2 linked regions of the Xenopus tropicalis genome follow. The protein of the gene in region 2 interacts with the protein of the main gene of each other region in a pairwise test. Links are inferred from orthologs where the notes say so. Each region holds a gene or a part of one and is shown on either strand. Other genes may lie near its edges.

Region 1 (4,288 bases), on a different chromosome or scaffold from region 2:
CAGTCTGGCAACTGCTAAGCAGTCTAAGGGCCCTTCTATGCACCAGCTATGCTCAGTTTACAGCCAACTAACATGTCTGTATGTTTTGGAATATGGGAATAAAATACACACAAACAACACCCAGAATCAAATGTATGACCCCAGCACTGCAAAGCAGCAGCACTAGCCACCATGTCTCCTTGCTCTATAGGCTCAAACAAGGGGATTCTAGAACAGTAGTTCTCAAATGTGGCAGTCCCCTATGGATCCACCACTTCTTTTAATGCAAGCCCTAGACCAATTAAACATGGGGCAGACAAAGCCGCAGCTCCAGTGTTCTAACAGACAAATCCCCTGCTTCTTGCTATGGGATTCTCTTTGATAGTAATGAGCTGGGGCTTTGATTGGATCTCTCTATTGATTTGACTTATTTGAAATGAGCAACATCAAGTACTTAGGATATTACAGAAGCTAATCACACATAAAGTAGGGCACTGCTAGACATCGCTTACCTTCTGAGTTATTCTGCTGGGAACCGAGACAGTATAAAGATAGACATTCTCTGCGCAGATTCTCTTCAAAAGGGATTGAGCTATCGTAAGTCTCACCTCCCTTTTTGGCTGTAATAAAAGTCAGTAATCTATGAGAATTGCAGATACCTGTAATTCTATTTTTAAAATATCAGTGGTGATGTTTCATATGGGTATTATCTAAAAGAGATTTACACAGTAAGACACATTTACTAACACTGGGCCTATTTACCTATGCAGTCACCCATTGCAATTAATCACAGGTATATATTCCTTATTCTGTCTGCAGTAATTAGTTACTTTTTTTGTTATTTAAGGCCCAAGTGGTGAATGATTGCTATGAGTTGATGCACTGGTACAGCACTGTCCATTAATAGTACATTAGCCTCAGTGAGTGCCATTCAGTTCCATGATTGGAACTCTTGATATTTGCATTTTCTGACGCTACTTACTTCGTCTCCGGTGATTGTTAACAGCCATTGGTTAATTCTCGGTATCAGTGTAGTTCAAAGAAAGTGAGTCACCTGCAATTTTGCCTGGATCAGATTAAAAACTACAAGGAATAAAAAGCACATACTAAGCAGTTTCAGATGCCAAGAGACCATGCTTACTCTGTAGCAGTAACGTAGATGCAATTCAACATTGTGCAATTAAATGCTGATTTTGGTGCAAGTCAGTGTAACATCACTAAGGGCACATAAAAAAGGTAGGAATGCTTGGAATTAAAATGATACAATTTCACCAAAATGGCAATATATATGGCAGTATATAACTAGGTTCAACAAGAGCCATAAGTGGGGTTTTTCTTAGAATTGTGTTTTTATTCTTTTAAACCCTCATGCCCAAAACCAATTCCGATCAGGCTCTTTACAATTCTGGCCTTCTGTCATTGTGGTTACACCCCTGGTTGAATTTATGGGGGCCCAAAGCAACACTGCATAAAATTGCTGCTCTGCAGGGCACCAATATGAATGTTGCCCCATATATATACCTCTAAAGTAACCCCTCTTAAAAGGCAGCTGTCACTGCCACACATAACTACATAAAGTTAGCAGGAGTTTAAGAGATCAAATATAATTGATGTACAATTATTTTTGTCATGCCACTTCTTCATATGAAGGAAAGATCTGGATTGCCTTCATTTCTGAAACAGCACCAAATCATCCTAAGAGGCAGTAATAATAATATTACTACAACACTGTTATTTCTCAGCATCTGATCTGATGCCACACAGGAACTCACCCGATGAGCCAGCGATGTTGTAGAGGAATCCAGCATATAACTAGTTTTCCATGTAACATCAGAGCGGAAGCCTAGGAAGTGGGAAATTAAGCACAGCGATCAGATGAGATAATGCAATTAAAATGGCTTCTTTCCCTTCCCCCCACATTTCGTTCTGTGTCTCCTTCAGCAATTCAGCACCGGAGGGGAAATTATGTTCCGTGTTACTTCTCCGTTTGGCTCTGGGAACCAGCAGCTGACAGGCAGCTCTACAGCAGGCAGATCTTGCCAGGGTGCTTTGCCCTCTATGTAAGGAAGCTGCAGGATAAGCCTGGGTACCACAATGCTGCTCTGCTCCAGCAGGAAAATGATGGCAAGGGCAACAGCAAAAATCTCACCCACCAGAACCTGGAAATTCTTATTATATATCCGTACAACCTCTCAGGAGAACATGGACATCAAGCTACTGTTTGTATCTAACAGCCTTAACAGGCTCACACAATGTGATTCTGCAGCCAGCCAGGCTGAAAGGGAGCCCCTTCAAAAAAACTCTTAGTTTAAATAAAGACCATTTAGGTTGTGGGCCCCCCTTTCCTTTGGACAAAAGAATCCTCTAGCCTTTGCTACAGAACAAGGAGTGGGAACAGGGAGGGAGCAATGGGTTATTGGGGGGAGGGGGGGGGTAATATAGAGGTTGAGCTGCAGCCAGGTATGGTTTCAAACCTGATTCTAGAACTTATGATTGTCTCATGGTCTTGTACGATCTGCATGAAAAACAACACTGAATCACCAGCAACTGCCACAGTCCATGTGTCTGTCCCAGAATAAAAAAGAAGAATCATTTGCCCTGTAAGAGTGAAGTCATTGGATCAGAAAGGTACAGTCACCCTGTAGCAAGCCAAGCCACTTAAATAAAAGGCCCAAACACACGCTGACAACATTCTGCAACAATGTCCATGTCTGGTCAGCTTCACACAGTAGCTACTCTACCAAACCCCCTACGGTGCTCTGTAATGCCAGAAGTGAGAGATGGTCGGTTTGTGCCTTTACTTCCTGTGTGCCAAATAACATCACACTCAGGCACAAATATAGACCTAGGGGCAGATTTATCAAAATGTGAGATTAGAGCTTACCACAGAAAAACCCACTTTCTATTAATTTCTATGGGAATTTTTGGAAACATATTTATCATTTAGTGAAAGTTAGAGTTCAACCATTGATACACTTCTAAAAATCCCATAGAAATAAATAAAATAAGGGTGAGTTTTTATGTATTAAGCTCTAAACTCACATTTGCCCCCAAGTGTAGAACCTCATACTTGGTGCAAAAGACTAGCAAGTATGTAAAAAAACCCTCAACATATTTTTAGCAATTATAAAATTCATGGGGTTACCTGTAGCCAACCTTAAGACAGCAGAGTCAACTATTAAATTTACATGTTTAACCACTGAAATAAGACTCAGCTAAAATCTTCAGACTCCTGAATACAGATATATTCGCCCCATGCTTGTGTGGGTTTCCTTTCCTTTAAATTTTCCATATCTTTTAATGCTTTAGAATGTCTAAGACAAATGATAAACAGCTTTAAATCTTGCTTGTTTATTCTTCTGTTCTGTTTAATGGAGAACTTCAATAAATATTCAAAATTGGAAAAACGGATGCTTGTTGTCAATATTATGGGCAGTATCAGAAGATAACTAATAAGAAGGCAGTATTTTTTTCCATGAAAGCTGGCAACAAAACCAGGGTTATATATATATATGTGCATATACACAAATAAATAATTACAATTAGAATTAAAAGTAGTGCTGGTCCTCTTTTGGAATTATACATATACATTTTAGGAGGTGCACTACCATAACTGCCAAAACGCAGCTTGTGAGTTTGCTTCCCTGAGGATGGTCACTGGTGTAAGTGTAAGGGTTCCTGACCACAGACTGTAAATTTAGTAATCCATGGGAGACCTCCTGCCAGGACAAAGACGTATACAGGGACAAGAACGACACAACTCCAATGGAAGTTCAAACTTGTCCAGTTTATTCTTACGTGCTCATAGTTCTTATACCCCTTGTGTACGTGCAAATACAAAGAAATCATTGTAACATTAGCTTTGAAACAAAGATGGCCTATTTCATTATCTTCAGAGATGGCCTTCAAGGATGGCTAATACGGGACAAGGAGGACACAAGGAGTAGAAAAGGTGTCAGTGCATAGATAACATTAAGTTGTTTTTCAAGGCTCATATTTTGTAAGGTGCAAGCTGTGCAAGAGTACTATTTGGGAAAAACAACTATTATGGGATGTTCAAGCCTTGCTGGTTGCTGTTACAAAATGGAGATACATTTCTAAAATGGAGTATGATATGCTAAGCATCAAAGTGTATCAAAGTTAGAAAAATACATGCATATATAAATATAAGATTATATCGATATAAGAATATAGGATATTATATCAAACCTCACAGTAAGACTAACATCTGGACCAATATTTTTGCATTAGTCCTGTAGTGTGTATTACTGTTTGCCCTGTTATCCAGAATGCTTAGGACCGGGGGTTT
Region 2 (4,057 bases):
CAAGGTTTCATTATAATGTATTAAAGGGAAAATAGAAAAGAACCCCACTTAGTTCATTTTGAAAACCCAAGCTAATTTATACTGCACAAATAAAGAAATCCGACAAAAAAGTAACTACAAAATAATTTATTAAGTAGACATTCCACAACATTCTTAAGTGACCTATATACAACATACACACGCTCCAGCTTTGTTCCCTATTCAAGAACTTTTTGCTCGTTTGCTTTTGGCCTGTCGGACTTCAGCTATCAGATCTTTCAAATACTGGATCTCTTTTGTTAACGAATCTACTTTTTCTCTAAGGGTATCATTTTTTCCCTCTAGTTCTCTGCACTCTCCAGATATTAACTCTTGCTCTGCTCTTTTCTTCTGTCTGTAGCGAGTGGCTGCTGTTTTGTTCTGCTCCATTTTCTTTTTCTTCTTGTCTACTCTGGGCTGCCCTCCAGCTACTTTCACCTTCGCCATCACATCTCTATCCTTACAGGGAAGATCATAAGGTTTGGGTCTCTCAGAGACTGGGGACTCTAGGGAGGACTGAGGACTACTATAGCATTCTACAGTTGATGGACTCTGCTGAGGGGATTCCAAGTAGGAGGGGCTCATGCTGATTCCACTATCATTATCAGAGGAATCTTCCTTCTCACATTTAAGTATCTCTAGAGTATATGTTGCAGAGGACTTTTTCTCATCCTCTGCAACATCTACCTCACTACCTACATCCAAGATGAAGGAATGGTCTGGGCTAGAGGAGAGAGAGGCTGTCAAATCTGGGCTAAATGGGGCAACCTGATCAGCATCCAGTGGGGACTCTGGAAGAGAGACAGGTTCAGGTGATGGCACAAAGTGGCCAATCACTGCTGCATGAGGTGGGTCCTCTAGGAAATCACATGAGTCTTCCAACGTGGATGTTAGCTCATCTGGTGAGATAGTGGATTCCAGATCTTCCAACCCAAACAGGGAGTCTAAATCAAATTCCTTCAGATCCATCTTTTCCACCATCCAATCCATGCCGGAGAAGGCGTCCCCTAATAAAGAACAAAGAAGGCTCAGAAAGCAAAGCAACAAATTTCTATCATCTCATAAGCTAAGTTTTACAATCTTTCCACTTAAAATGCCCATTAGCCATTGAACAAATATTTTAACAAATCTATTCCAGTAATGTGGCTGCAAAGAGGTGCTTCAAGCAAAATACATGAATATTCTATTATACAGAAGAGAGACTGAACCCTTTGAAAGCCAGTTTACTTACCATGAAAACTGCCTAAAGATTCAACATAAGGCAGCAGGTCAGAGACGCCATCCTTAGCCTTGTCGCTGGAGAACCCTTGCGATAGGAGGTACCCGGGCACCTCAAATTCATCCTCCAAGAGACCCAAACTCTTTTCAGCCGCCAAAAACGACTGGTTGAAGGGGGACAGAAGGTCCCCCAACAGCATCTCGTCGCTTAACAAACTCATCTTTCTGTAGGATCACGAATTCGACTGGTGATGACAATTTTGAGCTTTCTTCCTCGTATACAGCAATGCTGCTGTGGGATGCCTGGAGAAGCCTGCATAATAAAAGCAAATATTAAGAACATTATTAAGAAAAACATGCTTGTTCTTCACAATGCTTCTTCACAAGAGCAGTATTATATTCTAGTCTTCTCTTCCCTCATGACCAAATATGGGCACCTTCCCTCCGGCCCCACCCACACCCGGTGATTCACAAAGCTGATCAGCAGCCATTTCACAAGTTAACCATCTGGTTTGTTCTCCACCCTGGTATGGATGCCATTTTAGCATCAAACCCCTTTAAATACAAATTGCTAAACCATCCAAACCATGTCCTAAACAAATGAAGTCACCTTCCTCACATAAGATCATTGTTGAATGCTACATTTTATTGTTAAGCACAACACTAACTGAAAATACATTACTAATTTTCAATGCCATCTGGAGCGCTGTTATGAGAGATTCCCCTATGCATACAAGGGAAACAGCTGTCTCTAGAGAGCAAGTCTAAATCTGCCTGGGGAGAGTCTCATTTCAAAGCACACCCATTAAGAATTCCCAAGCCACACAGGAGCTAGAAATACCACTAAAGGAGATCAAACCCACTGTGACATTGAAACATTTTAGAGAGTCCCCCATTCAACAAACTGATTAAGGCAATAGCTACAATTCCTAGTGGAATTCGTTTAACCCTATGGACACCACCCAGGTTACAAAAGCAGCAAGTTAATAGCTTCAATAATTTAAACCGTAAACACAAGATGCAAGTTCAGGAAATCTGCATTTGTAAGAAAACCCAAAGGTCCCTTTGTGGCCCTAATGAATGAGATGTATATACTGATAATTGTCACTCCAGCAGCCGCACAATATGGCTGATAGCTATTGTCTACCTGCTGTACATACATCGTACCCTAGGGGGCGCCAGAGTCGAGTCTGCCAAGGACAAGAGCCACATGGCAAGACACATAAGAACATTTACGTTCGATCTACCGCTACATTACCCCAGACATTCCTTCCTGCCCCGTTTTATATTAATACTCCTGCATTTCAAGCAATTTCCCACCCCCCACACACACACACTTAACACCTCGCCATGTAGTACATGACCCAGTAGGGATACTTACGCCATGGCTGTGCCGTTGCCTGGTGCTGCGGGCGCCGCTGGGAGCTGCTGCCTCGCTATGGCCGGGGGAGAGGGGAGCCGCAGGCCTGTGCTGCCGCTATAGCGCCATGGCTGTCCGCTGGTTATTGCGGCGCCGGACTGAAGAAATCACTGTTGGAACCTGCTACAGCAGAAGCGTCGCGTCCTCAAACCTTAGTATTTAGTTAACAAAAAAGACCCAGCGACAGCAAACTACGTTCCCTCTTTCATTCCAAGCTGCAGACTGACGTGGCGGGCGATTTACCGCCCCTTTATATAGACTCGTGGTTCCGCCCCGTGTATCCGTCCGCTCTGTAGTCTCTTCTTTTGTAGCGTCGCTCTGACATGTGATCTGACGGCAACGTGTGCCTCCGCTCCAGGAACTATACTGTGTAATGCAATTATAAATGGATCAATAGGGTTCTAACAGAATAAGATTCATCGCGGAATAAATGTGTGCGTGGTGTTTATTAGAGTAAACGAAGGCAATATTTTAGTTCATTGTTTGATACACTGTAGTGCTCTTGTACGAATTTCTGCGTACGCCAGGCCAGGGCAAGACCCAGACATTGTACTTCAAAGAGGACAATGTGTCAGTGTCACCGACGTAGAAAGTAGTGTCAGTCGCCCGATACAAATGAAAACCATTTCGGTCATTAGTATAATAATCCATGTTTGAGTGACTGGCGATAGACAGACGAACAGGCCTGATAGATTTTTATTATACGTTAAATATAACATTTTATCAACACCCCCTGCTTTGCCACAGTCTATGAAAGAGGCAAGGGGTAAATACCACCAATACGGATAATAAGCACTTGGGGCAAATATTATGGCGTTCCCCCGAAGTAACCAAGAAATAAAACTCCTGACACCACTTTTTCACTTTATTTATATTGGCTAATTAAGCATTATAGACATAAACGAAAAGGGCGCGCTAGTTTTAATTAATTCATTTGGTGTGTCACGCGTGTTCCTGGCATTGCCCCTCCCCACTGTTATGGAAACAAACCCACGTCCCACTCCCACATTATCCCCCCCCACTCTGCCCGCCCTGCCACCAAATGGTGAATCCGCCCAGAGACGCTTTCATATCACGAAGCCAACGCGTGTACAGCTGCCGTTGATTGGTTGGCCCAGGCAGCGCCCAATCCCTACACGCCGCGCTATTGGCTGAAAGCGAATGAGCCCTCTGAATCACGCAGTGGGCACGCAAAGCTGCTGCACCAGAGTGAGGCGGATGGGCGGGGCGCCGGCGCTGGAATGTGAGGAGAATCGCTGATGGGAACTTGGGAGCGTGTCCTGGCGCTGCCATATTTGTCTCTTCCTGCTCGTTTTGTAGCTTCGCTGAAGTAAAGTGTATACACTATAAAGAGCATCTGTTGTTGGAGCATTCCTGAGCCCACATGTTCGTTGTAAAGTC

What was found.
Region 1: the proteins of atf4 (region 2) and ccdc106 interact in binary tests that used the Homo sapiens proteins (3 or more experiments, as listed by UniProt). The link is inferred for Xenopus tropicalis from reciprocal best matches to the Homo sapiens genes ATF4 and CCDC106.

Annotation. Positions count from the first base shown.
Region 1 is NC_030683.2:104,010,851-104,015,138, reverse strand, and holds the start of ccdc106 (coiled-coil domain-containing protein 106), read right to left. Parts: upstream 2,821-4,288; 5' UTR 1,752-2,820; intron 1,159-1,751; exon of another isoform or gene 1,034-1,158; 5' UTR 990-1,033; coding exon 962-989; intron 600-961; coding exon 492-599; intron 1-491. UniProt on the Homo sapiens protein: Promotes the degradation of p53/TP53 protein and inhibits its transactivity.
Region 2 is NC_030680.2:121,049,546-121,053,602, reverse strand, and holds atf4 (cyclic AMP-dependent transcription factor ATF-4), read right to left. Parts: upstream 2,872-4,057; 5' UTR 2,618-2,871; intron 1,550-2,617; 5' UTR 1,437-1,549; coding exon 1,250-1,436; intron 1,026-1,249; coding exon 202-1,025; 3' UTR 112-201; downstream 1-111. UniProt on the Homo sapiens protein: Transcription factor that binds the cAMP response element (CRE) (consensus: 5'-GTGACGT[AC][AG]-3') and displays two biological functions, as regulator of metabolic and redox processes under normal cellular conditions, and as master transcription factor during integrated stress response (ISR).